Linked DNA regions of Pelodiscus sinensis. The protein of the gene in region 2 purifies or fractionates together with the protein of the main gene of each other region. This does not show direct contact. Links are inferred from orthologs where the notes say so. Each region holds a gene or a part of one and is shown on either strand. Other genes may lie near its edges.

What was found.
Region 1: the proteins of MPHOSPH6 (region 2) and EXOSC3 purify together in Homo sapiens (affinity purification with mass spectrometry; 6 studies listed by BioGRID and IntAct, counting the BioPlex papers as one, with this or other methods). This does not show direct contact. The link is inferred for Pelodiscus sinensis from reciprocal best matches to the Homo sapiens genes MPHOSPH6 and EXOSC3.
Region 3: the proteins of MPHOSPH6 (region 2) and EXOSC6 purify together in Homo sapiens (affinity purification with mass spectrometry; 3 studies listed by BioGRID and IntAct, with this or other methods). This does not show direct contact. The link is inferred for Pelodiscus sinensis from reciprocal best matches to the Homo sapiens genes MPHOSPH6 and EXOSC6.
Region 4: the proteins of MPHOSPH6 (region 2) and EXOSC8 purify together in Homo sapiens (affinity purification with mass spectrometry; 4 studies listed by BioGRID and IntAct, counting the BioPlex papers as one, with this or other methods). This does not show direct contact. The link is inferred for Pelodiscus sinensis from reciprocal best matches to the Homo sapiens genes MPHOSPH6 and EXOSC8.

What each region holds. Positions count from the first base shown.
Region 1 is NC_134718.1:14,179,716-14,186,793, reverse strand, and holds the start of EXOSC3 (exosome complex component RRP40), read right to left. Parts: upstream 3,016-7,078; 5' UTR 2,959-3,015; coding exon 2,677-2,958; intron 1,709-2,676; coding exon 1,559-1,708; intron 1-1,558. UniProt on the Homo sapiens protein: Non-catalytic component of the RNA exosome complex which has 3'->5' exoribonuclease activity and participates in a multitude of cellular RNA processing and degradation events.
Region 2 is NC_134722.1:10,611,468-10,618,846, reverse strand, and holds the start of MPHOSPH6 (M-phase phosphoprotein 6), read right to left. Parts: upstream 3,016-7,379; 5' UTR 2,880-3,015; coding exon 2,829-2,879; intron 1-2,828. UniProt on the Homo sapiens protein: RNA-binding protein that associates with the RNA exosome complex. Involved in the 3'-processing of the 7S pre-RNA to the mature 5.8S rRNA and play a role in recruiting the RNA exosome complex to pre-rRNA; this function may include C1D.
Region 3 is NC_134722.1:48,825,775-48,833,034, forward strand, and holds EXOSC6 (exosome complex component MTR3), read left to right. Parts: upstream 1-4,259; 5' UTR 4,260-4,306; coding exon 4,307-5,176; 3' UTR 5,177-6,892; downstream 6,893-7,260. Other genes in the region: AARS1 (alanine--tRNA ligase, cytoplasmic), read left to right, coding at 1,280-1,393, 2,120-2,305. UniProt on the Homo sapiens protein: Non-catalytic component of the RNA exosome complex which has 3'->5' exoribonuclease activity and participates in a multitude of cellular RNA processing and degradation events.
Region 4 is NC_134711.1:294,865,707-294,873,607, forward strand, and holds the start of EXOSC8 (exosome complex component RRP43), read right to left. Parts: upstream 3,004-7,901; 5' UTR 2,906-3,003; coding exon 2,670-2,905; intron 2,624-2,669; exon of another isoform or gene 2,429-2,623; intron 1-2,428. Other genes in the region: ALG5 (dolichyl-phosphate beta-glucosyltransferase), read left to right, coding at 5,529-5,667. UniProt on the Homo sapiens protein: Non-catalytic component of the RNA exosome complex which has 3'->5' exoribonuclease activity and participates in a multitude of cellular RNA processing and degradation events.

The DNA.
Region 1 (7,078 bases), on a different chromosome or scaffold from region 2:
AAGACGCTTACCCTGTAGACTTGAAAATGTTCCATCTCTCTCTCTGCTGTTTGAACTCTGATAGGGCCACAGGCTTTAAACTGAAGCAGAGATTCCCAGAGGTTTCCCCTAAATCTGCCCTGAAGGACACTTGGAATTGACAGATTATTACAACATTCGTACTTTTAGGATTTAGATAATGGTTCATTTGTGTGTACAGGCTTGCTTATTTAACTTACAATGAACTCATTTCCTTTTCCTAGTTAACAAACCTTTAGATAAAACTTAAACAACAAACGGTCCTGCCGCACCTTAGAGACTAACAAAAAAAATGTAGATTGTTTCATGAACTTTCAAGAGAACAACCTACTACATCTCTGAGACTTTTAAACCTTTAGATAGCTTATTAGAGGATTGGCTACAGGCACTGTCTTTGGTGTAAGTTCTAGAGTACCAACTAAGGATGTTAAGAGATGGGTAACTGACTAATTGTGTAGTCGATACAATTTGTATTGACTTCACGATTAATTGATAAGGGAAGGTGCTCAGTCCCAGCTTGTGCTGGTTCAGGAGCTACCCTCACTGCAGCTCTGCAGTTTAATTGTAGGAGCCAGGTGCACAGGCAGAGCTGCAGTGGTCCCTGATCAGCACAAGCTGGAATTGCTTGGTCCCAGCTTGTGCCAGGTTTGCAGTGGGCAGAGCCTGCTCTGTGGCAGCCTCCCATGTCCCCTGCTGCTGTCTCTATCAGTGGGGATAAGGGGGCAGGCAACACTGGGGAAAACCAGCTTTTAAGCCGACTCCTGTTTCCTCCCCCTTGCTGCCTCTCATGCAGAGGCACTAACGGGGATGGGAAGCGACAGGTACTACTCGCCTACATCCCTAGTATCAACTGATCTGGGGTAAATGATTGTCTTGTGGACTGAAAGCAACAAAGCAACTTGAACATGGTGTGATTTTTGGTGTAACTAACTATTTATCATTAAGCTCCTCTTGTCTGGGTGGCAAGATAAAGAATGTCTAAGGGAACTGTCTATGATCCAGGTGTTCATATTTGTTACTGAGTTGGTGACATTTAATTATATAATTCATCACCAGTTTAACATGTCTGCCCTGTTTCATAGTCTGCCCTGAGTTAGGTACTATAGTCGAGAGCCACTCAAGACAGCACGACAGTCACATTTTGTAAGAGCCTGTTTTATGTAACCTGAATTCTAGGCCTAAATTGATCTCAGACTCTCTCTTTGAAGAGCTATTCTATCACAGAAGTGCCATTTCCTCCCTGTGACACAGCTGCACACCCTCTGTATAATGAATGGCAAAATCTGGCAACTAATACTGTGATAGTCAGTGATCAAAGGAAGAAAATCCCTCCCTCTGCCAGGGTCCAACATAAAAGCTAGGAGAAAAGGCAAAGAAAATGTTTGTACATTTCACTAAAAATCTATTATATACCAGAACATCTTTTGACTAAGATACGGATAAATATATGAGGAAATTTTAATTGTCAATTTGCAAGAAAGTGAAAACACAGTATTTTAAGGGCTTTGATAGTGCCAATATATATATATAACAAAATTACCTGCACATTTGGCCTGTTTCTTTTGGTTGCACCTTCAAATGCCAAGTAGGACAAAGATGCTTGCTCACTTCCACCAACATCCACTTTGAATATATCACCTGCTTTGATAGTCACTATGCCTATCACATGATCTCCCTTGACTGGTACATACTGAAAATGAAAACAAACTTTAGGATTAAGACATGTAACAAGAGAAACATATCGTTCACGCGCACGCGCGTGTTTGTGTGTGTGAGGGCTCATTGGTTAACCCTCTCTGTAACGTGTAGCCCCCCCGCACTGCTGCTTCTGATACAGAGGCAGCAGTGCAGGGAGGGAGGACGGAGCCACTACCTCAGTGGTCACCAACCAGTAGATTGGGATCTACTGGTAGACCTTAGAGCCTCTGACAGGTGATCCTGACTAGTTTGGCCAGGAAGCTATCAAGCACTGGCACTTCAGTTGCCCCTCCACCCACTGTCATGCTGCTCCTGCCCTCTGCCTTGGAGCTGCTCCCCCCCCCCCCGCCGAGCCTCCTGCTTGCTGTGCAGGGTGTCTCTCCTCTCTCCACTTCCACAGAGAAAAGGGGATGGAGGGAGCTTGGCAATGTAAATCTGTCACTCTCCTACACTATGTGTGCCTGTCATTCTCACAGGCACACACTGTCCTTCACTTTCATCTCCCAACCCAAAACATACGTGTGTGCGGGGGGGGGGGGGTGATTTCTTTTACTGCTTGCAAAGCGTGTGATTTTGGGTTGTTGACTGGTCTGTGCATTTCATCCTTTTCATTTCTCTCTGAGTTTAAATGTAATTATTGGAGCAGCCAGTTCTAAAATGCCGAACCTACTGGAGTTATTACCCCAATGGCAACTGCTGCTCCTGGAAGTGGCTTAATCCTGCAACCAGAGGCGCTTCAGGGGCACTAGCCCTGCTCCAGTGAATCATGTCAGTAGCAATGGGCTCTGTCTTTAGCGCTTGTGCCCCGCCACACTCGCCCCTGGGGGGAGGGGCAGGGCGCAGACGTTGGGTCGATCACGCGGCGGGTTCCACGGAGCGGGAGGTAGCGCGCGCGGGGGGGGGGGGGGGGGAGGAGACGTTGGCCGCACGCGCCACCCGCCGCCGCGCGCGCGCGCTCACCCGCTTCTGCTGGGAGTCCACCCAGTAGGCGCCGCCCGAGCCGCCTCCGGCCCCGCCCGACGGGCGGTGGCGCAGCAGCCCGCACTTGGTGACCAGGAGCCCGGCCCCGCAGCGCCGCAGGCCCGGCCCGCACACCAGCCGGCCCGGCAGCGCGGCGCTCGCGCCCAGCCACAGCCGCTCCCCGCCCGCCTCGGGGTGCGAGGGCAGCAGCAGCACATCCCCCGGCAGCACCACCTGCCCCACGCGCTGCTCGGCGGGCAGGGCCCCCTCCTCGGCCGCCATGGTCGCAACGAGGGGGGACGCGTGCGCCGAAAAGCGGCGGAGGGAGGGGGTAGCGGGTCCATATTGCGCATGCGCACAAGTCTGGCTAGGGCCTCAGCCGGCAGAATGGGCGGGGACGTCACTCCGAACAGCCCCGCCCGGCGGCGCGTGCAAGCCCGAAGACCCGGAGTGAGGTTCCTGTAAGGAACTGGCTTGTACATTACCCGGCCTGCGGTAGCGCTGCAGGGGAGCAGGCCCGCTTGTTGCGATGGGCGGGTGCCAGCCGAACTGTGCACAACCCGCACGTCTCTGATTCGCCTGTACAAACTGCTAATGTTAAACTAGGAAGCTGGAGTTAGAAAACGGAAAACTCATGTCCCCCTGAATTGTTAACCACTGGCGACATCACCTGGCCAAATAAAGATACCAGGGGTTCATTAGTATAACTGTCAAATTGTCTTGCCAATTCACCTGCCAATTTTCTGCCATGATATTAAATAAAAAGAACCCCAAGGCTATGTCCGCACTGCAGGCTTCTTGTGCAAAAAGTTCTTGCGCAAGAGCGTGTTCACGCCCCCATGTGCTTTTGCACAAGAGATGTGCTTTTGTGCAAGAATGTCCATGGAGTGTGGACGCTCTCTTGTGCAAGAAAACTCTAATGGCCATTTTAGCCATAGGGGTTTCTTGCGCAAGAAACCCCTTTTCCCGTCCACACTGCTTTCTTGGCAAGAGCTCTTGCGCAAGAGGGCTTATTCCACAGGGGGGAAAGGAATAACTCTTGTGCAAGAAGCTCTCTCTTCTGATGCTTTACTGTAAATTTACTTGTGCAAGAACACACGTGCAATGTAGACGCTACGCACGTTTTTGCGCAAGAATAGGCAAAAACATGTAGACTTCTACATGGCAGGCTTCTTGCGCAAGAACTGTTTTGCGGAAGAGTTCTTGTGCAAAAGGTCTTCCACAAGAGTGCGTCCACACTGCCATGAGCTTTTGCAAAAGAGATGTGCTTTTGCAGAAGAGCGTCCATGGCAGTGTGGACACTCTCTTGCGCAAGAAAGCTCTGATGGCCATTTTAGCAATAGGGGTTTCTTGCACAAGAAATTCATGTTACCCCATCTACACTGCCTTCTTGTGGAAGAGCTCTTGCGCAAGAGGGCTTATTCCTTGTGGGGAAAGGAATAACTCTTCCGGAAGAAGCCCTGTTTTCTGACGCTGTACTATAAATTTACTTGTGCAAGAACACACGTGCAGTGTAGACGCTCTGCAAGTTTTTGCCCAAGTAGTGTAGACATAGCCTAAGTTTATTTGCTTATGAAAAACGTACCATGAACATCCAGAATACTGATGAAAATAGCATAAGATAGATGTAATAGAAAACTTTTAATTCTGGATTTCAGAAGTTTCAGGGCAGAAGAAATCCCACCCTTGGAGTAGTGAGCATGGATAGTATAGACCTTAGCCAACTGCCACAAACTCAGACTATGTGGGTATGTCTAGACTACATGGCTCCGTCGACGGAGCCATGTAGATTAGTTTACTAGACATAAGAAAATGAAGCGGCAATTTAAATAATCGCTGCTTCATTTACATCAAAATGGCTGCCACGCTGTGCCGATCAGCTGTTTGGTGGTACAGCGCGGTAGTCTGGACGCTCCATGGTCGACGAAGGAAGCACTTGTTGACCGCCCCGGTAAACCTCATTCTATGAGTCTTCCCTTGTCGACCGCAGAGCGTCCAGACTACAGTGCTGTGCCGCCAAACAGTTGATTGGCACAGCACGGCAGCCATTTTGATGTAAATGAAGTGGCGATTATTTAAATTGCCACTTCATTTTCCTATGTCTAGTAAACTAATCAACATGGCTCCATCGATGGAGCCACATAGTCTAGACATACCTTGTGTTTGTGCCTTCTCCAGTATCACATTCTGTAGATGCATCCCTAACCTAGTGCTAAAAACTGTGGCCCACTGTGCAGCGACAGGAAGGGGTCAGCTCCAGCCTCCCTGGGCTTCCTGCCCACAGGATATCAATTAAGTGGTTAACTGTAACATTTAACAAGTTAATTGATTAAATGGGATTTTGCATTCCTTTGTTTTGGGGTATCTTCTGGACAGAAGTGGATGCCTTATGCAATATGCTATTATGTACTGGGTCCTTCAGGACAAGGGGCTGATATTGTGGGGATGTAGGAGTCAGGGCAGGGCCTTGGGAATGTGTGTGTGTGGAGTTCTGGAGGCTGCGGGGGTTAAGAAAGTGAGGGTTGGGGGATAAAGGGAAGCTCAGGGTGGAGGAGGCCCATCTGGCACAGGCCTTTTCTCTCCCCCCTTAGATCTCCTCACTGCTGCCAGGGGCTGTCCCCTTTCCCCCGTGCTGTGGCCAAGGGCCAGGAAGAGGGAAAACAGTTTAAAGGATACTTACTTGGCTTGCTGGCAGGAAAAATGGCAGAGCCCCAGCCCTGCTTGTCACTCCCTTGATTGTACAGCTGCCCCCAGCAGCTACTCTCATATTGTGTCCCTCTGAACAGCAGTCTCTCCCTTTGCATGTTATGGAAAACTGTCCTTTTCCCCGGGCTTTCAATTGTCCTGGCACAACCAAACCCAGACCTTGCTTTAAGTTAGGTGAAGAGGGAGCTGCACTCCAAATTTGGTGGCACTAGCTCTTACCCTTTAGAAGGACTTCTTGAACAAATGGACTCGCAGACAGACACACACACACACACACTCTAAAATATATACGCAGATAAAGACGGAATGGATGGTGTGTGTTCTGCCATTTACCATCTTAACTGTAGTATGCAGTAACTACTTACTATGCAGTTTTAGCTAATTGTAGATTTAGGGTTTTCTTCCAGAATTCCACCTGACTTCAGGAGAAGTTACATTCAATTGAGGGTTGTAAATTACCTTTCTAGAGAAGCATAATTAGCTATAAAATAGCCTTCTCTTCCTCTCCCTTACCCCATCTGGAATTTCTTACATTATGAAAAGCCAATTTACAGGCTGACTGAAGCTCTTCTATTTAGAGAGAGGGAAGTCACATGCATAAGTGTGTTATGGTGTTTTAAAATCATACATTTTTATTGAGGAATCCCCCCCCCCAACAACTTTTCATCAACATTATTTTGACTGAATACATTAAAGAAAACATGATTTTTGACACTTCATTCAAATTGGTTCCAAAGTATGCATAATAATAATAAAAAACTATAGACAACTGAATGTACAGGATAAAAGGCTTTTAATATCTCAGATTTTAAAATATGATATGTCACAGGAGCGGTGTTAAACTTTATTAAAAACTTCATATAGTTTAAACAAATTCTAAATTTAGTATGTGCACAGTTGCAATTATTCAGAAGATATTTTATGCAATTATTTAACTAGAAATTCAAGATGCTGTTTAGGCAAAATGTAAAGTTGCCAGTTCCATTTGCCTTGTGCCTGAGTTTTAGCTAAAATCTAACCTTTTAAAAAACTGTTCTAAAGGATACACTATTTCCAAAATTAGCAATTACAGATATAGTAATCAAATTGGTATCTGTGGCCCATCATGAGCAGAAAGGAAGACTCTTTCGTACTCATATCCAGAGCACTGTATACAAGAAGACATTAATTTAGTCAATTCACATACCTTATTTTTTGTCTTTATATTAATTTCAGGTATTCACTGGATACATATTTGTCATGTGTAACTACTGTATCTTTGGTTTTCATGTCTTATTCATTCCTAGGTTTGCTGTGTTCTACAAGTCACCTCATCAAGCTTCATAGGAGCTTTGCTTGCTGTGTTCTCAATTAGGGTATGTCTACACTGCATTCCTCTTTCAAGAGGGGAATGCAAATGCAGCTGAGCGAAATTGCAAATGAAACGTGGATTTGACTTTCCCATGCTTCATTTGCATAATCGTGTCCGGGCGCTATTTTGAAAAAAGAAACCCTGTCTAGATGCGGTTACTTCGAAAGAAATCCCTTCTTTCAAAATTACTCTTAAACCTCATTTTATAAGGCGTTGGGGAATTTCGAAAGAAGGGTTTTCTTTCGAAATAACTGCGTCTAGACAGCGTTTCTTTTTTCGAAATAGAATATTTCGAAATAGCGCCTGGACACGATTATGCAAAAGAAGCACGGGAAATTCAAATCC
Region 2 (7,379 bases):
GGTCTCATTTACTGTTCAAGACCCTATCCCAAAATCAGGCAAATTTTCACTTACATCAGGACTCCAGATTGAAGCATGAATCATATACAAGAGAGGGCCCAATGCCCCTTATGATGTTATTTGACTATGTATTTACTATCTTTACCATACATTTTTGGTTTATACCATATTTACACGTTTTTATTGCAACAGATGAGCAAAGCACCCCAAGGCTTATTTTGTACACCAGTTTAGTACAGTTATGCCCAGGGGCAGATGACTGTTTTGCAGGGCCCCGGGCAGCATAACTCCGCGGGGCCCCCCTTTGCCACGGCGCATGCTCGGGGCTTTTTTAAGCGCGGGGCCCGGGGCGGCCGCCCCGTTCACCCTGCCCTATATCCACCCCTGGTTATGCCTATGCCTCCTAAGATGACGTGTCTCTTTGCACTGGCAGCTCAGGACATGGGTCCTGATCCTAGAAACAGCACACAGCACCTTGACTGAAACCATGTCCCAGCAGGCTGGCCTGGTGTGGAAGAGCCCATAGCAGAGAAGGGGGTACACATTATAATGCCATTATCTCTTCCCAGTTTACACTGCAAAAACCAGCTTATTGTCTTCGCTCTAGCTGTGCTTAGGTCCCTTCCCTGCCATTCAAAACACCTTCCCCATGTCCTTTCATGCCCCCAGAGGTCTTCAGCTTCTCATCAGCCCATACTGAATAGCCTAATTTAGTCTTTTCATTTCTTCCGCCCATACTTCCAAGTACAACAGTAAGCAGCAAAAGGTACAAATGCCTAGGCAGACACACAGCTTCCCACCTCCTTACCCTCAGCCTCTATACCAGTCCCCCTATGTCAATATCCGGCTCCCTGCCCTCTCCTCTTTGTAGCGCTCTATATACTTCAGCTTCCCCACTAGCTTGAAAAGGCATTCTTTCTCATCTTCCCCACCTCGGGAATGGTCTCCTTTCTGTGCCTCCACAATCCTCCCAGTGGGGAGCAGTGGCCTGGAAAATGTGTGTGTGGCCACACTGTTACAATGGGGGAGCAGTAGTTTTGATGATATGGAGATTAAGGTGTCCACTTGAGGGGTAATTAAAAAAAATTTTGTTTCTGGGCCTGCGATTGTCTGAGGCCTCCTCAAATGCTGGTGGGCAATCTTTCCCTTTGTTCCCCTACCCCTAAATGTCTGGTCCCACGTGCAGAAGCCTCCTGGAGCTTTTCTAGAGATGTTAGATAGCAATTAACTGAATAGTTGTGTAACTCCACAAAATATTGATTACTTAAGTATTCGATAGTCCCCAGGGATGGGGCCCACAGCCAGTGTGCTCTGATAGCAGCAACCTCTGTCCATGGGGGGCCTGAGCTTCCCCCACAGACAGAGGCTGCACCGACATGTCACAGAGCAGCCTCTGTCCGCTATCAGCCTGGGCCTACTGGGGACAGAGATTGCTCCGCAGCAACCTCCCCTGGTCCTCTCTCGCTGCCACCTCAGATAAGAGGCAACAGTATGGGGGTGAGGAGGCAGGTGGCTCCACAGAGCTGGTACGTGAGGAAAGCTGGCTTAAAAGCCAGTTCCGCACATGTATCAGCTCCTGCCTGTCTGCTCCAGATGCCATGTTCTGCTCTGCTGCCTCTGATAGAGAGGCAGCAGTGTGTGTGTGAAGGGAAAGGGGTAGCGGCTTGCATGAGCCCATATGCACTGGGATCTGGCTTGAAAGCCGGCCTCTTGCGTGTACTGTCTCCCACCTTCCCCCCCCTCCCCACGTCTCGTATCTGCCTTTCTATCAGAGGCAGCAACGCTGGCGGTGGGAGAGGAGGAGCAGGCAGCTCCCGTGCTGGTTCGCCACGGCACCAGCTCCTACTCGCCCCTGTGATATAGAGGCAGGGTGTGTGTGTTGTTGCTAAGAGTAACACACAAACCCAGGCAGAGTGTGTGTGTGTGTGTAGTTGCTAAGAGTAACACATAAACCCAGGCAGAGTGTGTGTGTGTTGTTGCTAAGAGTAACACATAAACCCAGGCAGTGTGTGTGTGTGTGTGTGTGTAGTTGCTAAGAGTAACACATAAACCCAGGCAGAGTGTGTGTGTGTGTAGTTGCTAAGAGTAACACATAAACCCAGGCAGAGTGTGTGTGTGTGTGTGTGTAGTTGCTAAGAGTAACACACAAACCCAGGCAGAGTGTGTGTGTGTGTGTGTGTGTGTAGTTGCTAAGAGTAACACACAAACCCAGGCAGTGTGTGTGTTTGTGTGTGTGTGTAGTTGCTAAGAGTAACACACAAACCCAGGCAGAGTGTGTGTGTGTGTGTGTAGTTGCTAAGAGTAACACACAAACCCAGGCAGAGTGTGTGTGTGTTTGTGTGTGTGTGTAGTTGCTAAGAGTAACACACAAACCCAGGCAGTGTGTGTGTTTGTGTGTGTGTGTAGTTGCTAAGAGTAACACACAAACCCAGGCAGTGTGTGTGTGTAGTTGCTAAGAGTAACACACAAACCCAGGCAGAGTGTGTGTGTGTGTGTGTAGTTGCTAAGAGTAACACACAAACCCCGGCTTATCGGTTAGCCGTGTAGTCACGCTGACATCGGTACCTCTCCCCACGGGCTCCACTCCCCCGGCCCTCCCTCCTCACCCCCTTGGCACGGGCCAGGTCTTTGCCTTACAACCCCACAATCCTCTCGGGGGCCCCACCCCGCCCCACCCCACCCCTCATTCCCTAACCCCTCCCCCCCCGCTCTGCTGCCAGGGCCGGCTCCCCCAATCTCCCTGGGGGCCGGCTTAGCCCCCACTCCCCGCCCCGCCCCTCAATCCCTCCACCGGGCGCAGCCCGCCCCGCACGCGCCCCCGCTCTCGCCTTCATGCGCAGCAGGTTCTTGGACAGCCTGGTCTTCGCCTCGGCGGCCATCGCGGGGCCGGGCCTGGAGGCCGCGAGCGATCCCCGCCCCTCTGCTGCCGCACGAGCCGCCCGCAGCCGGGCCACGCGCACAGGCCGCGCCGCCGGAGCTGGAGCGGCGGGGCGGGGCCGGGTTTCCGCCCGGGGCCTCTGCCGCGCACGGGGGCGGGGCCTTGTGCGGGGCGGGGCCGCGCTGCGGAGGCGGCTCTGCTGGGGGGGGGGGGGGGTCGCAGCCCGTGCAGCCCCCTACCCGAGCCTGGCACATACATGGGGGGGTCACACGTCATGGATGGGCAGTCCCCTACCCGAGCCTGGCACATACATGGGGGGGTCACACGTCATGGATGGGCAGCCCCCTACCCGAGCCTGGCACATACATGGGGGGGTCACACGTCATGGATGGGCAGCCCCCTACCCGAGCCTGGCACATACATGGGGGGGTCACACGTCATGGATGGGCAGTCCCCTACCCGAGCCTGGCACATACATGGGGGGGGGGGGTCACACGTCATGGATGGGCAGTCCCCTACCCGAGCCTGGCACATACATGGGGGGGGGGTCACACGTCATGGATGGGCAGTCCCCTACCCGAGCCTGGCACATACATGGGGGGGGGGTCACACGTCATGGATGGGCAGTCCCCTACCCGAGCCTGGCACATACATGGGGGGGTCACACGTCATGGATGGGCAGCCCCCTACCCGAGCCTGGCACATACATGGGGGGGTCACACGTCATGGATGGGCAGCCCCCTACCCGAGCCTGGCACATACATGGGGGGGGGGGTCACACGTCATGGATGGGCAGCCCCCTACCCGAGCCTGGCACATACATGGGGGGGGGTCACACGTCATGGATGGGCAGTCCCCTACCCGAGCCTGGCACATACATGGGGGGGGGGGTCACACGTCATGGATGGGCAGCCCCCTACCCGAGCCTGGCACATACATGGGGGGGGGTCACACGTCATGGATGGGCAGTCCCCTACCCGAGCCTGGCACATACATGGGGGGGGGTCACACGTCATGGATGGGCAGTCCCCTACCCGAGCCTGGCACATACATGGGGGGGGACACGTCATGGATGGGCAGCCCCCTACCCGAGCCTGGCACATACATGGGGGGGGACACGTCATGGATGGGCAGCCCCCTACCCGAGCCTGGCACATACATGGGGGGGGGTCACACGTCATGGATGGGCAGCCCCCTACCCGAGCCTGGCACATACATGGGGGGGGGGGGTCACACGTCATGGATGGGCAGCCCCCTACCCGAGCCTGGCACATACATGGGGGGGGTCACATGTCATGGATGGGCAGCCCCCTACCCGAGCCTGGCACATACATGGGGGGGTCACACGTCATGGATGGGCAGCCCCCTACCCGAGCCTGGCACATACATGGGGGGGTCACACGTCATGGATGGGCAGCCCCCTACCCGAGCCTGGCACATACATGGGGGGGGGTCACACGTCATGGATGGGCAGCCCCCTACCCGAGCCTGGCACATACATGGGGGGGTCACACGTCATGGATGGGCAGCCCTTCCCCCGAGCCTGGCACATACATGGGGGCAGGAAGGGGGGGGGTCAGACCCCATAGATAGCCAGCACCCCAGCCTGGCTCACAAGGGTCGGGACTGGTGGAGGTCACATACAAAAGATGGGCACGTCCCTCATTCCAAGCCTTCAGCGGTGGGAGGGTGGGTCTTGCCCATGTAGGGGACCATAGATCATTCATGATACAAGGGCCCTGCCCCATTCTTCCCCAGTCCTCCTGTCAACCACTCTCTCCTTTCCTATTCTTCCACTTTTGCCCCTCTACATGCCTTAGTCTTCCTCCTTTACCCATTCCCCATCTCCCAGTTCCTTTTTATTCCTACCTACTCTCCCACCCCAAGCACCCTCCCTACCAGCAAACATTTGCTTATGTAGTTTATTTTCTTTTCAAAGCACAGTTTTAGCACCTTCTCGGTATTTTCAGATTATATTTTCCAAAATAAGAATCCCCATTTGACAGAAGGAGATTGGAGCAATATTTCTGCTTTTTTTTTAAACTTGAGATTTCTGCCCAGAACTGGATTCAAATCTCCCCATACTTGGGGTTCTATTCAGATTTAATAATTGTTAGATCCCTTCAGAGCCACACAAATTCCAGAGGTCAATATTTCCCCTTAATAGTTATCCTTTTCTCTCTGCATATGCTTAGTGTACTCTATTAGGATTACAAATGGACTCACAAGCCTTAGCGTGCCTGGCTGAAGAAGCAAATCTTTTCAGACAACATTTTAATTTTTCTTCCCCGCAAACTATGCCTGTATTTCCCCTCTATGGTCCCTTAAGAGACCCATTCCAGGGTGCTAACTCTTCAACCATCGTTTCTGTTAAGTAGAGACCTGCATCTCTCTCCTTGCTGACCTGGCTTTTTCCTGGTCTTCACCATTCCCAGTAAGACAGACTGCTTAACCAAGCCATTGTGCTTTGCTTTTTCTTTAAAAGCTACACACAGTGTAATTGCCTTTATTCTTAAGGTGAAAGCATAACAGAGAAATCTTATGAAAACGGCAAGAGTTCCTAATATGGATGCAAAAGCTTGCTAGAGGTCACCTATGAGTCTTATGGGGTTTCAGTAGGTCAAAGTCCTTCCAACCCTTCCCAGGAATGACCGGAGCCTCCCATAGGCAGAAGGTCCTGTCCATTTGCTGGATCAGAAAAAAGGCCATTTATCAGTTTAAACTGAGGCTATTTATCTAAACTTCTTTCTTTGTCACTTAGTCTTTGGGAAATCTAGTTTGAACTGGTATACCTGTGCCTCTCCAGTAGTGTTACTCCTCTGGAGGTGTTATGACCTGAGTGAATTTGCTTAAGCACTCCCCATTCCTTCCCTGTTCTCAGTTCTTAATTCCAGGGGAGGAATAACATACAGTCCAACCCACCATGATACATACATTTGAGATCAATTAAGATAGTGGAGGAAATTGCCCTACTTGTCTTAGGTACCTTGCACTGCTGGGTGTTTGAGACCCTAGTTTGATCATTATTGGCCAGCAACAAAACTTTGTCAGAATGTGAGCTCTTTTTTTTCTTCTGGTGGCTCTTTTGATTGCATCCTTTCTATATTCAGTTGATGCACATGTCAGTGTGCTGATCAGCAGTGAAAGTAACTTAAAATTAATTACAGGTGTTGTCCTGTTGCAGCCTGTGTCCCTGCTCTTTAAATAGCTCCCTGCTGGCTTTTGCTGCAGTTCAGCCAGCTCTTGCTGAAGCTGTGAACCTAGGCACACCTACTTACTTTCACCTCTGGTGCTGATGCCTGTGACTTCATTGAACATCATGGAGCCAAATGTACTATAATTTACACCACAAGATTGTCCTCTAAACCCTTTTACTAGTTGTGTGTGGTCCCATGGCAATGGTGGGGAAGATGAGGCAATTTTCCCACCTTAAATACATGGGTAACCATTCCCATACATGGACAACTAGAACGTGAGGCTTTGCAGTCTCTGAAGCACAAGAATTGTTCCTTGCTTGCACCCCTTGTGGGATGGGGAAGTTTCTAGGCCAGCTCAGCTGGGAGCTCTACAGGAGTTGTGCCATTCCAGAGCTCCTGCTGTGTAAGTGCATCTCTATACCCACTGTCCACTGTTTTTGCCCAACTGAGCCTCAACTGGTGTAAGTAGTTGTATAATGATTTACACCAAAAAAAGATCTGTCCCAAATACATTCAGGTCCAAAGTGCTCTGTTCTGAAGTCAATACAGTATGGTTCTGTCTATTTAGAGAGGCAGCAATTTGTAAAAAAGGTACCTCAATCTATGTAGACAGATAAAAAGCATCAAAGAATATTTTTAAATTGCATCTCTGAGCATTTATACCCTTAATTGGTCGGTGAGGATAGACAGCAATTGGATGTATTTTGGGCACGATCATGCTGTGTATTACACCGATTAAGCACTCCATTAATTGTAGTGAATATCTTCACAATGTATACTTGTGTCAAAGAGAGCAGAATCTGGCCCTAGCTCTTCAACCTCTGATGATATGAGGTTAGTCTTAATGAAAGAGATCAAAAAAGTGGCTCTTGTGATGTGGGGTAGGAGGGTTATTCTGAATGACCCTTTTCCCAATTCTGGCAGCTAAAATTGCAACTCTGCTTTCAACCTACGAATGCAAAAGAGAATAGCTCACTGAAACAGCACAGGAGAAAAAAAAGTCCAAATCATCAAAGATTCTACATTAAACGGACAGATCAAAGATGTTATTTCCTAGGAGACAGAGGGTCTTTTTTTCAGTGAATATCAAAGTTAAATTAAAGTTTTAATTAACATTATTTAAAGAGTAGTTTCTCTTTAAACAATGTGAAATAGTTTTTAAGTGATCTTTGTGAACTAGGTTCGTGCCAAGTGGGTTTCAGCTTTAGATAATGCAAAGGTTACCTACCTGCTAATATTAATGCTCTCCTTTAAAAAGTGCATTTATGCTTCCAGAATGATTATAATTCTAGCACAATATACCT
Region 3 (7,260 bases), about 38 Mb from region 2:
CAGTCTGGCTGAGGATGGGGATCCCTTGAACTTCCGTCTCTGGCCCCAGGAAGTCTAAGCAGTTCTGGTGACCCCATGGAAGTGGGGGCCTGACCCAGTTTGAGAACCACTGCTCTAGAATTCTCTTTTGGGGCCATTACTGCAGTCTGCACAAATGCTGCATCTGCGTTCTAGCTCCAGAGTCCAGGTGCTTTTCTCTGTGGGGTGCTGCTGGAGGTGTCCCGGGGATTGTGCATCCGCACAGCCTGTCCTGGGAGTTGTGTAACTGCACCAGTTCTTTCTCTGAACGAGGGCGCTCCATCTCTTTTTGGGAAGATTATGTGCCTGGTGCTTAGGGACTTCTTCCCAGTCAGTGAAGCCTCTCCACCTTCACCTTTCTTGCAGCCCATTTCTGTTCACTGGACAGGGCCTTGAGAGGCTATCTAGTCCAATACCCTGCACTCATGGCAGGACTGAGCATTACCTAGATCATCCCTGACAGGTTTGTATCTAACTTGCTCTTAAATATCTCCAAGGATGGAGATTCCACAACCTCCCTGGGCAATTTATTCCAGTGTTTAACCACCCTGACAGGTAGGAAGTTTTTCCTAATGTCCAACCTAAACCTCCCTTGCTGCAGTTTAAGCCCATTGCTTCTTGTCCTGACCTCAGGTTAAGGAGAACCATTTTTCTACAGTCTTTGCAACACTTTTTTATTTATTTGAAAACTGTTATCAGGTCCTCTGTCTTCTCTTCTCCAGACTAAACAAGCCTATTTGTTCAGTCTTGCCTCATAGTTGGTTTCTAGATTTTTAATATACATATATTTTTTTTGCTCTGGACTTTCTCCAGTATATCCATGTTTCCTGAAATGTACCTAGAACTGGACCCACTACTCCAGTTGAGACCTAATCAGCTCATAGTAGAGCAGAATTACGTCTTGTGTTTTGCTTATAAAACTCCTGGTGATACATCCCAGAATATTGCTTTTTTCCAACACTGTTGACTCATATTTAGCTTGTGATCTACTGTGATCCCTAGATCCCTTTCTGCAGCACTCCTTCCTGGGCAGTCATTTCCCATTCTGTGTGTGTGAAATGATTGTTCCTTCCTAAGTGGAGCACTTCTCTCCTTATTTAATTTCATCCTGTTGATTTTAGATCATTTCACCAATTTATGCAGCTCGTACCTTCAGGGCCACTGGGGACTGTCCTGGCTGTGGCTGCAGAGGGATCTGAGAGCCTGCAATGTGGTGTCAGGAGCTGGTTCTTGCCATGACTCGGTGTGCATGTCTCCACAGGCCCTGAATGAATCTCTGAAGCTGTTCAAGGCTTACTCCCCTCAGACTGCGGCCATGCTCTTCTCTGTGGATAGCGAAGCTGGGAAGATCACTTGCTTATGCCAAGTACCTCAGGTAGTACTGTGTGTGTGCCCTTCCTTGTGCCGCCCTGCAGCCATTCAGATGGAGTGTCAGACTGGTGGGGGGGGCGTACTTCAGGATTCTTGCACCCCTCATGCACAGGGAAGTCCACCTTCCAGCCTCTTCCCTATCTGCATCTCCCCTCCCCCCGCCCCTTTCCAGTAGCAGTAGCCCTGCTCCTGACCCTGGCTCCTGGGGATGGGGTGTGGAGACAGGGATAGAAACATGAAATGAGCAGCTTCCACTGAGGAGGGGCTCTGAAGAAGCATTACTCTGTGTTTCTTCTGATTCCTGTTCTGTCTCTGACTGCCCCTTCAGCCTTACACCACATGTCCAATGGCATATGCCTCTGGTGGGGTCGGTGGGTTTTGTTCGGTTACTGCTGCGAGTGCAGGGCTTGGCCTTGACTTTTGTAGCTCTGATTTTGAAAACAAATAATGTTTGAGAGGTGAATCATGGAGTACACAAGACAAATCAGACTCCTGAAAGGGGGTGCGATCACAGAAGACCCTTTGAGGCTATTGCTGTCACAATAGGCAGTGATCTTGAAAGATTGAGAGCCACTGATTCAAACCCACTCACCTGCCTGGAAAAGACGTTTCCTTCCTTCCCTCCCTCCCTGGCATTGTCAGCCACAGCACAGAGCCTGGAAATCCTGCCTTCCCCAGCAGTCACTCCAAACCTGCTGTCTTTAAAAGAATCTGAATTCTTGCTTTCCAGGAGCTAGCCACCAAGGGCCTGAAGGCAAACCAGTGGGTGCAGGAGGTGACGGGTCTGATGGATGGCAAAGGCGGTGGGAAAGATGTATCTGCCCAAGCTACAGGAAAGAATGTTGACTGCCTAGAGGAGGCTCTGAAACTGGCCACAGACTTTGCCAAGCTCCACCTTGGTGAGCTGAAGAATTGACCTAGTGCCCCTGCACTGACTCTCAGCACATCAAGGAATGCCCTCAACTCTCCTCAGCCTGGCCGATAGGTTACAGTGTAGTGGGGCTTGTGAAGATGGATTCTGCTCCTCATTCCTTCTGAATCCATTTGCTTGAGGCATTAGCAGACTAAAAGCAGAATCAACAGCTTGTGTCCTAATCCAGCTCTGATGAGGTCTCCCGGTAGCCTGTGTTGAATCATGTCACTTTCATCCTCTCTATGTCTGTTCCTTGTCTAAAGTCAAGCTGACAGTACTGACCTACTTCCCAGGCTACTGTGAGGATTAACTAGCTAATGGTGTAAAGTCTGCAGAGCACAGTCCAAGGTGCTAATTGTTAGCAAATACTGTCACACTTCTACAATAAATTAACATGCATCAAAGCCAAGAGTCTGTGTGTACCACCTTCACCCCTGTGTTACTACACTGGAAGCATGAGCTGCAATGAGGCTGGGTGTCGAAGGTGGGGATCCAACCTGCTAGAGTATTTTGAACCTCACCACTGTTACCAGCTGTTGATAATACAGGAAGTTTGCAGAGGAGTGACTGGTACCACATTCTCTGTAATTCTCTGAAGTGCCAGCCTTGGGATGGTCAGAGGTGACAGGGCTGAGCTACTCTGCATGGGAGCAAAAGCCAGAGACAAGGCAGGTGGGAGCACTGGCCTGCACTGACCTATGGCCCACAGCTACTGCAAGGGTGCCTGCTGTCAGTGGGGGCTTCACACACCCTACCTCAGGGAGTGCCCAGTAACCTTGAATCTCCAGGGAGGCTGTAGGAACACTGTCAGCCTCATGCTTCCTCAGCTGGGGGGTCACTGTTCCCACTCAGGAGCCTCTCCTAGCCCCATGTGAGCCTCCTCCCCCTCCATTACCACTCAAGCCCCCCTTGTCAACTAGGGTTGTCAGGTGTCCAGATCTTGACTGGAACACCCAGCTGAAAGGAACCATCCTGGCACCACTCAGTGCTGCTGACCAGCCATTAAAAGTCTATGCAGTGGGGCTAATGCCTTGACTCTGTGTGGCTCCCAGAAGCAACACTTTGTTCCCCACTTTGGCATCTACATTTAAGGGCAGCCAGGGCCCTTCACACCAGTGGGGAGATGGCTCTGCTTGTGGGAGCTACTTGCGGTAAATGCTGGCAGGAACCTGATCTCCCTGCTGCCCTACATCCTACCCAGAGCAGCCTTCTGCAACCCAAATCCCTCACCCCTACCCTATCCCAGTCTGCATCCCCAGCCACAGCCCTAGCCTGGTGAAAATGAGTGAGCATGTGAGGGAGAATAGGGAGAGTGAGCAACAGGAAGGGGGCATGAAGTGAGTGGAGAGCAGGGAGGGAGGCGAGGGTGTTTGGCTTTAAGTAGAGTTAGCGATAGGATGGGGCTTCTCCCTACTGCCAGCCCCTGAATAGCCCTGCCCACCATTATCACTGGGCCCCCTTGCTAATCTCCTCCCCTGCTGCTGGCCCCCTCACTAGCCCCCTGCCCTCCCCACCTTGCCATTATCTGCCCCTTTGCTAACTCCCCTCTCTCCTGCCACCCTTCCCTGCTGGAAAAACTTGAAAAACAAGGACTAATCTGATAGCACCTCAGAGACTAACCAAGTGTGGATGGCGGGGTGAGCTTTCCCAGCTCCAGCTGAACCTGCGCCCCGCTGTGCCCGGCTCATGAGCCCAGCTCCGCTGTGTTAGTCTGTAAAGTGCTGCCAGACCACTCCTTGTTTTTCCCTCCCCTGCTCTGTTGGCCCCACCCCCTCGCTAACCACGCCCCCTGCTGTTACCGTTGGCCCTGCCCTCTCGCTAACCCCGCCCCCTGCTGTTACCGTTGGCCCTGCCCTCTCGCTAACCCCGCCCCCTGCTGTTACCGTTGGCCCTGCCCTCTCGCTAACCCCGCCCCCTGCTGTTACCGTTGGCCCTGCCCTCTCGCTAACCCCGCCCCCTGCTGTTACCGTTGGCCCCGCCCCCTCGCCGCTTCCCAGCCCCGCCATGCCGCTGGACCCGCGGCGCGTGCCGGGCCCCGAGGAGTCGCAGCCGCCGCTGCTGTACGCGGCGCCGGGCCAGGCGGCGGCGGCCGATGAGGCGGAGGCGGAGGCGGGGGCGCTGCGGCCGCTGCTGGCGCGCGCCGGGCTGCTGAGCCAGGCCGAGGGCTCGGCCTACGTGGAGCTGGCCGGCGGCACCAAGGTGCTGTGCGCCGTGCGTGGGCCGCGCGAGGCCGCCGAGGGCCGCGGCCGCCTGCTCTGCGACTTCCGCCGCGCGCCCTTCTGCGCCCGCGGCGCGCGCCCGCGCCCCGGCCCCGCCGCCGCCGCCCGCGAGCGCGAGCTGGGCCTGGCGCTGCAGGAGGCGCTGGCGCCGGCCGTGCGCCTGGCCCGCTACCCGCGCGCGCGCCTCGAGCTCACCGCGCTGCTGCTGCAGGACGGCGGCGCGGGCCTGGCCGCCGCGCTCTGCGCCGCCGCGCTGGCGCTGGCCGACGCGGGCGTGGAGATGTTCGACCTGGTGGTGGGCTGCGGCCTGTGCCGCGCGCCCGGGCCCGCCGCCGCCTGGCGCCTGCAGCCCAGCGCGGCCCAGGAGCGCGCGGCCGCCGCCCGCCTCACCGTGGCGCTGCTGCCGGGCCTGGGCCAGGTGGCGGGGCTGCTGGGCAGCGGCCAGGGCGGCCCGCCCGAGAGCTGGGCCCAGGCCGTGCGCCTCGGCGTGGAGGGCTGCCAGCGCCTCTACCCGCTGCTGCGCCGCAGCCTGCTGCGCGCCGCCGAGCGCCGGGCCGGGCTCCCGCGGGGCCTGCCGCCCCCCGAGCGGGACCCCCCGGACCGGCCTCCTCCCCCTGAGGGGCCCGCCCGGCCCCCTCCCCCTGACCGGCCCTGAGGGGCCCGCCCGGCCTCCTCCCCCGCCCGCCCGGACCGGCCCTAAGGGGCCCGCCCGGCCTCCCCGGCCCGCCCGCCAGGCTCCTTTCCCTGAAGCGCCCCCGAGGGCCCCCAACAGGCGCCAGCTGCTCACCCCTTTCCAATCACGGCCCCCTCCCAGTTCGCTGAGCCTGTAATGCAGACTATGGGCCAGCCCCCCCTTCCGGGAGTTAATGAAGGTCTCAGTGGCACAGCCCTCCCACCAGTACATCTGTGATGAGATCAGGCCCCCTTTGGTGCTGGGCAGCAGCCCCTCCAAACTAGCTCAAGACCTGGCCCATCGCCAGTGTGGGGAGCAGCGCGGCAACCTCACCCCCCTGCGACTGGACTGCTAAGGGGCCTGATCCACGGAGTAGCCACTTTCTGGAAAGCCCCACGAGGAGGCAGTGTGACCAGAGCCCCAGACATTGCTCCACCTTGCAAGGGATATGAGTTGAATGGGGCCTCTCTACCAAGGAGGAACATATCATGGACTTTTGCACCCAGAGGGAAATTCACCAGCACCATGGCAAAATTGTGAACATTTCAACCGATATCGGGACTGAAAGCAAAGCCAGAATCTGGAGACTGAACATATGCAGGAGATCTCCTTGTGGCTTTTCTTCTCTATGCTGGCACCAGGTGGGGTGAGCTGGAGATGTCTTGTAGAAGAGACTTTACAGATGCAAGTCAGCACTGCAGAACTGACAAACTGTGGCAAACCTTTTAGGGCAAGTCCTTCCCATCCAATGGCAGCTACCATCCACCATAGAACTGTTTAAGTGGCTTTTTAAGTATAATAGAAATGGGGTTTGTACTTTATGGTTAACACAATTCAGCAGATGAGAGGTAAACTGTTTTGCAGGTGATTGGCTGCATGCAACAATGTGAGGCAGTTGAATCTTTCCATTGGTAGGATTAGACTGCCTTGATTTGTTGGTGTGCACAAATGTATTTGGTATGTGCTTCAGGGGGACGTGGGAAAACCCTCCCCCTCCTGCCTGAGATTTTAAATTGTTTCTATTGACTCCCACCTGATTCCTACGAAATGGCAAGAAATACTGTTGACCAGCAAGCAGTCTGTTTTATTAGATGGTTTAAAATGTTTCTCAGTGATTTTTTTTTTTTGGTGACATGTTGATTATATCTTAATTCTCCCCCAGAAAATCACGACTGCATTTTTCCTGGTTTTCAGTTCACTTTCCCTAAAAATTGAGAGATCTGCTAGTGTAATTATTTTGATTTAATCGGGACCTTCCATTTCCTCTTTGGTTGCTGCTCTGCTTAGCATGGGTTCTTTATTGCATGTCAGTGTTTAATTTCCAAAGAGGCCAGTTAACGCAAATTCTCAATACAATGGACAGGTACCAATGCAGTTTTTTTCTTTCTCTGGGGTTAATGTAAATGTTATTACTTGACTACAACAGGAGAAATTGATAGAGAGCCTTTATCCTGAATCTGCTGTAATGTGTAACTCACCCAGCCCCTGGTTTGTATTGATTTGGAGGATGGGTTCCCAACAGAAGTGATGATGGAAAGGTTTGGTTGTATACTTTGGTGACTAAAATCTGAGCACCAGTCAGAAACCACTGCCCAGTGAACTCTAGTTAATATATAAGACCCATTTGTAACTCTCCACCAAAGAGAATTGATTGACTGGAGAACATTTTTATATTACAATAAATTTTCTTACTGGGAAGTTCATGTTTTCTTGGCTTTGATCTATGTGGGTCCTCTGCTCTGTAATGGGCCCTTTGATTAGAAAACTCTCCAAGTGAAATCCGTGATGTCCCCAGATGTCCTGAAGACTAAAACTCCATACTAGCAGGGCTAGCTTTCTCTTACTGCCCACTCTCCAGCTCTGAGTTCCCCTATTGTGAAGAGGATAGCTTTGTGCATAACAGCTCTACTCCTATGTAAAGGGGCCAGTTATGTAAATCTTTGCTTTGAAACTGGACTGAAGGCAACAGTTTCATCATAATGACTGAACAGCAAGCACATGATAATAACTGGGCTGGATTTGAGTCTTATCCTAGAGGGGAAGGCATTACAGCTGTTAGTGTTGTT
Region 4 (7,901 bases), on a different chromosome or scaffold from region 2:
ATTATTTTTAACATAGAATGTAATGTTTCAGATTGTTTTCTGCACACTCCCTAAAATGACACAATTTTTCAAATCACAATAAAGTTGACCTAAGTTGCACAATTCCAGCTATGTGAATAACATAGCTGAAGTTGACATACTTTAGGTCGACTACTTGCAGTGTCTACACTATTCTGGTTTGATGGGATAAACTCTCCCATTGATTTATTTTATGCATCTTGTTCTAGTGGAGTACCAGACTCACTGGGAACACATTTGGCAGTTGATTTAGCAGGCCTTCACTAGACCCACTAAATCAACCACTGGTTGATTTATTGCTGCAGCATGGATCCACCTGGTAGTGGAGACAAAGGCTAAAACAGAGAACAGAAAAACTGAGAAGACACAATGTTCCACAACTAGAAACTGATACAACACTGTTTGCAGCACAGTTAATCTTTGACACAAGGCCCTCAAGTTTTGTTCAAACTAATGTTTTTGAAGACAAATTATGGAAAAGGTAACTCAGAACTTTTATTACATTTTCTAAGCCAACATAAATCGGACATATGTATGACAATTTACAAGCAGAAGGGTAATGTTAATGTCAGTATTCCTTGAGCTATCCCCAGTTAGCATAGACATAAGGGCTGTGTCTACATTGGCATGAATTTCCGGAAATGCTTAAAACGGAATACTATTCCATTTTCAGTTTTTCCGGAAAAGGAGCATCTACATTGGCAGGTTACTTTTCCAGAAAAGCCCTTTTTCCGGAAAAGCATCTGTGGCCAATGTAGACGCGCTTTTCCGGAAAAGAGCCCCGATCGCCATTTTCGTGATCGGGGCTTTTTTCCAGAAAAGACTACTGGGCTGTCTACACTGTCCCTTTTCCGGAACAGTGTTCCGGAATAAGGACTTATGCCCGAGCGGGAGCAGAATAGTTTTTCCGGAATAGCGGCTGATTTTGTACAGTAGAGCATCGTTGCTTTTCTGGAAATTCAAGGGCCAGTGTAGACAGCTCACAGCTTATTCCGGAAAAGCAGCTGATTTTCCGGAATAAGTGGCCCAGTGTAGACACAGCCAAGGGCTAGACCTCACTGGCTCAGGCAATACAGGCAGTCCCCGGTTTACATACAAGATAGGGACTGTAGGTTTGTTCTTAAGTTGAATTTGTATGTAAGTCGGAACTGGTACATATTGTAGGGGAAACTCTAGCCAAACATTTCTCCAGAGCTCAGTTTTATTCTCCCACACCTCACTTCCCTCAGTTCTTTATTCTTAAGCTGAGGTGTCTGCTGAGAAAAGCCACTCCGCGTTTCCCTGGTCTGCTGGGGGGAGGGGGGACGACGCGCTAGCTTCGCATCTCCCTGGTCTGCTGGGGGGAAGCAGCTAGTGTGGGGTTGCCTCACCCCGTTTGTAAGTAGGGATCCGATGTAAGTTGGATCCATGTAACCCGGGGACTGCCTGTACAATCTACTGTGCCCCATTTAAAGATTGAGACACACAGGAGAGAAGCAAAGAGAGTTGGATCAATGCAGAAATCTTTCTTTCCCAAACACCTGGGACTCCTTGTTCAATCAGTTCTTACACTTAACTCCCATTTTCTTCTAACTGTCCTCAGATGGATTCCTCCACTCCAGCAACTCTAACATTTGGTCTTCATATTGATTAGGAACAGATTACAGTTGCTATGATTTCTACCAAGACTTTTCCTCTAACATAGACAAAGACCCACATTTCAAAATGCCTTAGCTGGCTATGACAACTCACTTTTTTGGCAAAACATATGATGCAATGTAACTCAGAACCATAACTGCTGTAAGGTTTAGGGATGTGGGAAGAATAATGTATTTCTGTAATTCATTGAAATTGAAAGAACTTTTCTGTAGCAAACTGCAATGTTACATTGAAAGTGAATAATTTGGAGAGAGGGTGTAGTGAGGTAGAAAGTTGGTCTCTCCCTTAACACTGTCTGGCTGCTAAAGGGCACAGTCCTATTACTGACCCAAACCCTTAATTCAACAGCAGTTACAGCTATTAAGTCTTTAGTTTTGAAATCTAGATAAATTCAGATAGAATGAAATATACAAAATCTAAGAATTAAGTCAGTTTAAGAGGAGGGGAAAACCGAATGTTGATTTTACCATAGCGAGTAAGGGCCTCAATTACAATCCTATAAATAATTCTGCACAAGCATCGTGCTATAAGTATGGGGAGCCCCAGTGAACTCACTAAAATTAGTCACAGGCAAAAAAAAGTGCACGTGCCACGTGCTTGCAGGAGACAGGCCCTCGATTGCCAAGACCACGAATGACAAGCGGTGGGTGGACATGCTCTGCCAGGGAAAAGTGAGAGTTGGGGGGGAAGGGGCGGTGTATTTCGTCCCCGCCCCCACTCCCAAGGCGGGCTGTTGAGAGCAGGCGCTGCAGACAGGGCGGGGGGAGCGGCCCCTCACAGCCGCCAGGAATCGGTTCCCAAGCTCGGGCCTGGCAGAGCTCGGGGCCCGGCGTGCGGCGAGTAGCCACAGCCAGGGGGCGCCACATGAAGGCTAAACCCTCTGCACCCGGGCACCGCCCGACGCCGCTGCGACCGCCGGGCCTAAGGACTCGGCAGCAGCCTGGGCGAAGCCGCAGCTCCCGCTGAGGTGACTGAAGGCGAAGGCCAAAGAGCTTGTTCGCTCAGTCTCTTACTTGAATCCGGCCGCCATAGTCCCGCTTCCGCCCCTGCGCGATCTACTTCCGGTTCCGGGGGGGACGCACTTCCGTGCCCCTTCCTCCCCCATCTGCCCCTTGGGCGGATGCTGGCCGGGAGGGGCGGAGGTTTCCCGGCAGGGGGCGCTGTGGGGCCCGGGCGCTCTGAGAAGCGGCTCCTCTCGTCGCAGCGGTTTGTTGTCAGGGCCGCTTCCGCCTCGCTGGAGCTGCCCCATAGGCCGCGCCCGGCATGGAGCATGGAGCCGCTCCTGGCTGACGTGGCCGCCGCGCTCGCTGCCTTGGCAGCCGCAGCCCTGAGCCTGGTGAGTGCGGCCCCTGAGGGGCATCGCGCCGCTCACGGGGCAGCCCCCGACTCAGCTGAGAGCCCCTCGCTGGGCGCGGCCCCGCCCCCTTCCGCGGGGGGAGCAGCCCAGCGCCCCGACCGGCAGCGGGACGGGACCCCGGCGAGGGGCGCTGGGCGGGAGGGGCCACGCTCCCGCTCCCCCGCACGAGACTGCCTGGGGCCACAGGCTCGGCCCGGCCCGGATGGGCGGTCGCAGCTTTAGACCCGCTGCAGTGTGGGGCTGGAAGGAATCTCACAAAGCCCAGCCCTTCTCCCCGAAGCTAGACCGTGTAACCCCTCGACTGTCCCTGACGGGCAGGTCGAGTGTCCAGCACGCTCTTAATAATGGCCCAAGGTGGGGATTCCACAGCCTGCCTGGGAAGCCATTTCTCTTAATATCAAGCAGTTCTCCTTTGCTGCAGGCCACTACTTTTTGTCCTTCACAGGATGTGCAGAACAGTTGTCCCTTTTCTTACAGCCCTTAGCGTATTTGAAAATTGTTATCAGGTTGCCCCTCAGTCGTTTTTTTAAAGATTAAGCAAGCCCAGGTTTTTTTGTTATCTGTACTTGTAGGCCAGGATTTCTAAGCTTTTATATCATTTTTGCTGCTCTCCTCTATGTTACCTGTAATCATTGTAGCATTTAGTTTGAGGATAAAACTACACTTTTCCAATTTTAAGAAAAATTGAACCATTTAAATACTGTATTTTGTTCAAAGAATTTGGTAGCTGTGTTAGAGAAGCTAGCAGGACACATTAGTAAGTGCAGGCAGTGTGTGTGTGTTGTTATATGACATAGATGTAAACAGTCCCTGCCCCAAATTCATTACAGTCAAGAAGATGAAAATGAGGGGGTGTCTAGATTACATGCATCTGATGAAGTGGGTCTTTGCCCACGAAAGCTTATGCTCCTACACTTCAGTTAGTCTATAAGGTGCCACAGGACTCCTCGTCGCTTTTGTAGACTACATCTGTCTTTCAACAGGATCTTTCAAAAAAAGCTTCTATTTTCGAAATTACCGTGTCTAGACTGCAGTTTCACTTTTGAAATAGCGCTTTTTCGAAAGAGCACCATGACACAATTATGCAAATGTAGTGCAGGAAATTCAAATCCTGGCTTCATTTGCAATTTCGAAGTGTCTAATTGACATGAGATTTCAGACACTCTGGAGACTCAGAAGTAGGATATATGACATGCAAACATATTACCTATATATTTAATACATTTTTCTCCTCTTTCCTTCTTCACTTACTTTTGTAAGTCATAAGATTTCATTCCACAGAGATGTTAAATGATAACATCCATAGGGATGTTAAATTTTGATTAATTAATTAATCGAATAGTTGATGGGATTTCCATCGACTATTCGGTTAGTCGATAAGAACGTCCATGTTCCACCTTTGAAATGCACAAGAGCCCCCAAAGGACTCCCTGCTATGAAAGAGGCAGCAAGGGGGCGGAAGCGACTAGTCAACTAGTGTGTCGACTATTCGCTAACTTTTGCTTATCGGATAGTCGATTAATCACTTACATCCGTAATTCCACAGTTACTGAAGTTTATGATTACTGCAAATTATGGTGGCCTATCTCTTAATTCAGCAGTATTTCTTTCTAGTTAGTCTGCTCGTAGTGGTAGTGTTGTGTGAGTTATATGTGTGTGTGTATGGTATTTTTAATGGAAAACAAAAGTTGTTACTTAATTGCATTATTTAATATCAGTTTTATATGTGATAAGATTTGCTTCTTGTATGGACTTGCTTAATATTAGAGATGTTGCTGCTAATGCTTGCTATGCTCTAGATTTTTAGTTAATTATCAACTAATGCAGTGGGTATAGCTACAAGATTTAGAACTGTTGTGCACCAGGGTCTAGAAAATGTTCACTGGGTCAAATTTATGGTGGCCTTTTCTAGTTGAAAATTTCATTTGCAACTTGCTGGGAACCTGGAGCCATATCCTGTGTAGATAAAATGGAACCACTAAATGCCATATAAAGACTATAAATCATAACCGGTAAAGTTCCTTTTTGATCTGTGCAGCAGATAAAAGAGCACTCCTCAATGGACCCACTTTACCATGGTTGTTAGAGCCATCCTATCCATAGGGTGAGCTGGGGCAGCCGTCCAAGGCCCTGTGCTTTGGAGAGGGCCCTGCGGCTCCTCCATCCATCCTATGGACAGGAGGTACCTGGGAGATTATGGGGCTTGGGAAGGGAAGAAGCAGGGCTTGTAGGATGGGGCTTACCTTGGGCTGCACAAATGGGGTGAGGGTTTCCCCAGAACCTGTGACTCCTTGGGATGACCCTGATGGTGTAATAGGAATGACTTTAAATTACTCGAATGTAGACCACAGATATGATTGACCATCCTTTGTTCAGTAAATTAGAATAGTTGAACACCTAACCAAATGTGGTTATGCAAAAAATGAATATAGCATTTGCTTAATGCAACATTGTCATAAATACCATTTCTGTTTTTTCACAGATTACTATTGTTGCCCATATAACTGCCACAAAAATGCCAAATCTTCATCGACATGAAGAAGAGAAGTTCTTTGTAAATGCTGAAGGGAAGAAGGAATCTATACCAAGCATACATGACCCCCCTACAAAGGAGCTTTCTGTTGTTGTGCCTTCATACAATGAGGAAGACAGGTGTAAGAATATTTCTTGGTTTTCTTTTTGAGAGACAAACTAAGTTTTGTGTTGCTGGTGAATGTCAGCAACAGAAAATTGCAGATTATGTAGCCATTTTGCTTACCAAGTTTTCAGGTCGCAATCAAGTAAATGGAGTTGTGCATGTAGAGCTTCTATAGAGTCCAGACATGCTTTTTTAGTGACAGAAATTAAACTACTTTCTGCAAAAAACAATTTTTACTAAAACTGTGTAAAATAAAGGTAGACATTTATTAACTAGGTTGCTGAAAGATTACAAAAGCCACTTTAAGCTGGTCTTCAGTGACTCTTAAAGTCAGTATGGGAGGTTAGGAGTAAAAATATCCATATTGGTTTTTTTTAGAATTTCACACTCTGGAACTTATAGCAGGGGCTTTAATCAGGCAGAAGGAAGGAAGAATGGTCTTGTTTAGGAGATATGGATTCTATTCCTGGCTTTACCATGTACTTCCTGTATGATCTTGGGCAAGTAATTTAGCCTTAACTTATAAAGGTCCTTCTGATGTGAAAGAGTTGTAAGCTGGAGGCTGTCTACTTACTGCTGGCACTGCAGATCATGTTGTTGTCTTATCTGTCTCACTGCAGTAAGAGCCACCAGAAGGAGTATGTATGTATTGTCCTTGTCTATAAATTGATCGGCCACAAGAACAATAGGTGCTGTCTCGGGGTATGTTTAAACTGCAATGAAAAGCCAGCTGATGTGGGCTCGTAGGGTTCGGGTTGCAGTACTGTTTTATTGTAGTGTAGACTTCCCAGCTTGGCCTGGAGCCTGAGCTCTGGGTTCCTCCCACCCTGCAGGATGTGCCTGGCTCTAGTCTGGGGGATGGGATGGGATGGGAGGGGAGGGGAGGGGAAGGGAAGGAAAGGAAAGGAAGGGTGGTTGGGTTCGGGGGGGGGAGGGAGAGGCGTGTGCACGGTGTCCCAGCCAGCACATCTCAAGGCCGGCCACTCAGCGCACACACCCCGGCACCTGGAGGGAGACGCGTCTAGCTGTTAGTGGCGGCTCCACCTCCAGGACCTGAGAATTAGATTAGAGTGGGGGGGAGGGGGATTGGTATTGAGGGGGGCCCGTGCCTGGCTCTGGGGAGGGGAGAGGAGGATTGGGTTTAGGGAAGTGTGTGTTCCTGACTCTGGGGAAGGGGAGGAGTATTGAGTTGGGGGGGATGTTCCTGGCTCTGGGGAAGGGGAGGGAGATTGGGTTAGAGCCCGGGGTGGATCCTTGGGGGAGGGAAGGGGAAGAGCAGGCAGCAACTTCCTGAGACCCGGGATCCCTAGGTACTGGCCCCAGCTGTCTCTGTCCCCTCCTCCTGGCCAGACCCCCCCCCCCCCCCCATGAGTACCCTGCCCCAGCACCCTATCCGCTGCCCCCAGCAGCACAGTTGGGGCCACATTAGTGAGGGTTGGGGGGTTTGGGAGGAGTTGTTTTTTTGCATCTCACTTTTGTGGCCCTGACTGACTTTTCTGTGGGTCAGTGACCCCTGACTCAAAACAGGTTCCCCGCCCCTCTCATAAATAAAGACAATGCTGAAACATTTTGTGTTTGACATATTTTATTTAAAAATGAAGCCTGGCCAACAAGCCCCCAACTGGGGCCAGTTCTCCATCTGGCCTCAGCATCATAACACTCTTGCACCTCCCTCCCCTCCAGGCCCCAACCTGAGCCTATCATTCACTGGAACCCCCTGTCCTAAGCCTCTCACATCCCCAAACTCCTGCACACCCTCATCCCCAGTCTTCTGCCACAACACTCCTGCACCATCCACACCTGCAAGTCTGTGTCCTGAGCCCATCATACTCTCAGCTTCCCTGCCCTGATCCCCTCATGCACCCCAGCCCAAACTCCTGTACCCTCACAGCAACAAGCCTGTGGCTTGCTCAGCACCCCAAGACTCCACCTGACCCCAACACTGTCCAGCCTAGAGCCCTCTCCCTGAGCCAGCATCCTCTTCTCTACTTTTTCCTGCACTCAAATTCCCTCCCAGAACTTGCACCTCTCACCCTTTCCCAGTGCTTCTTTTTGTGAGTCACAATAGCAGTGGAGACAGCATGAAGAGCCGGGGTAAAGTTGTTGAGCCAAAAAAAAAAAAAAGGCTGGGCTGCAAAGACTTGGGGAAAAGCTATGAAAAAAAAAAAGCCGTGCCCTGGGACGGATGTACCAGCACCTATTGTCCCCCAGCGCAGCTTTTTTTTTTTTTTTTCTCTCTCAACAACTTTG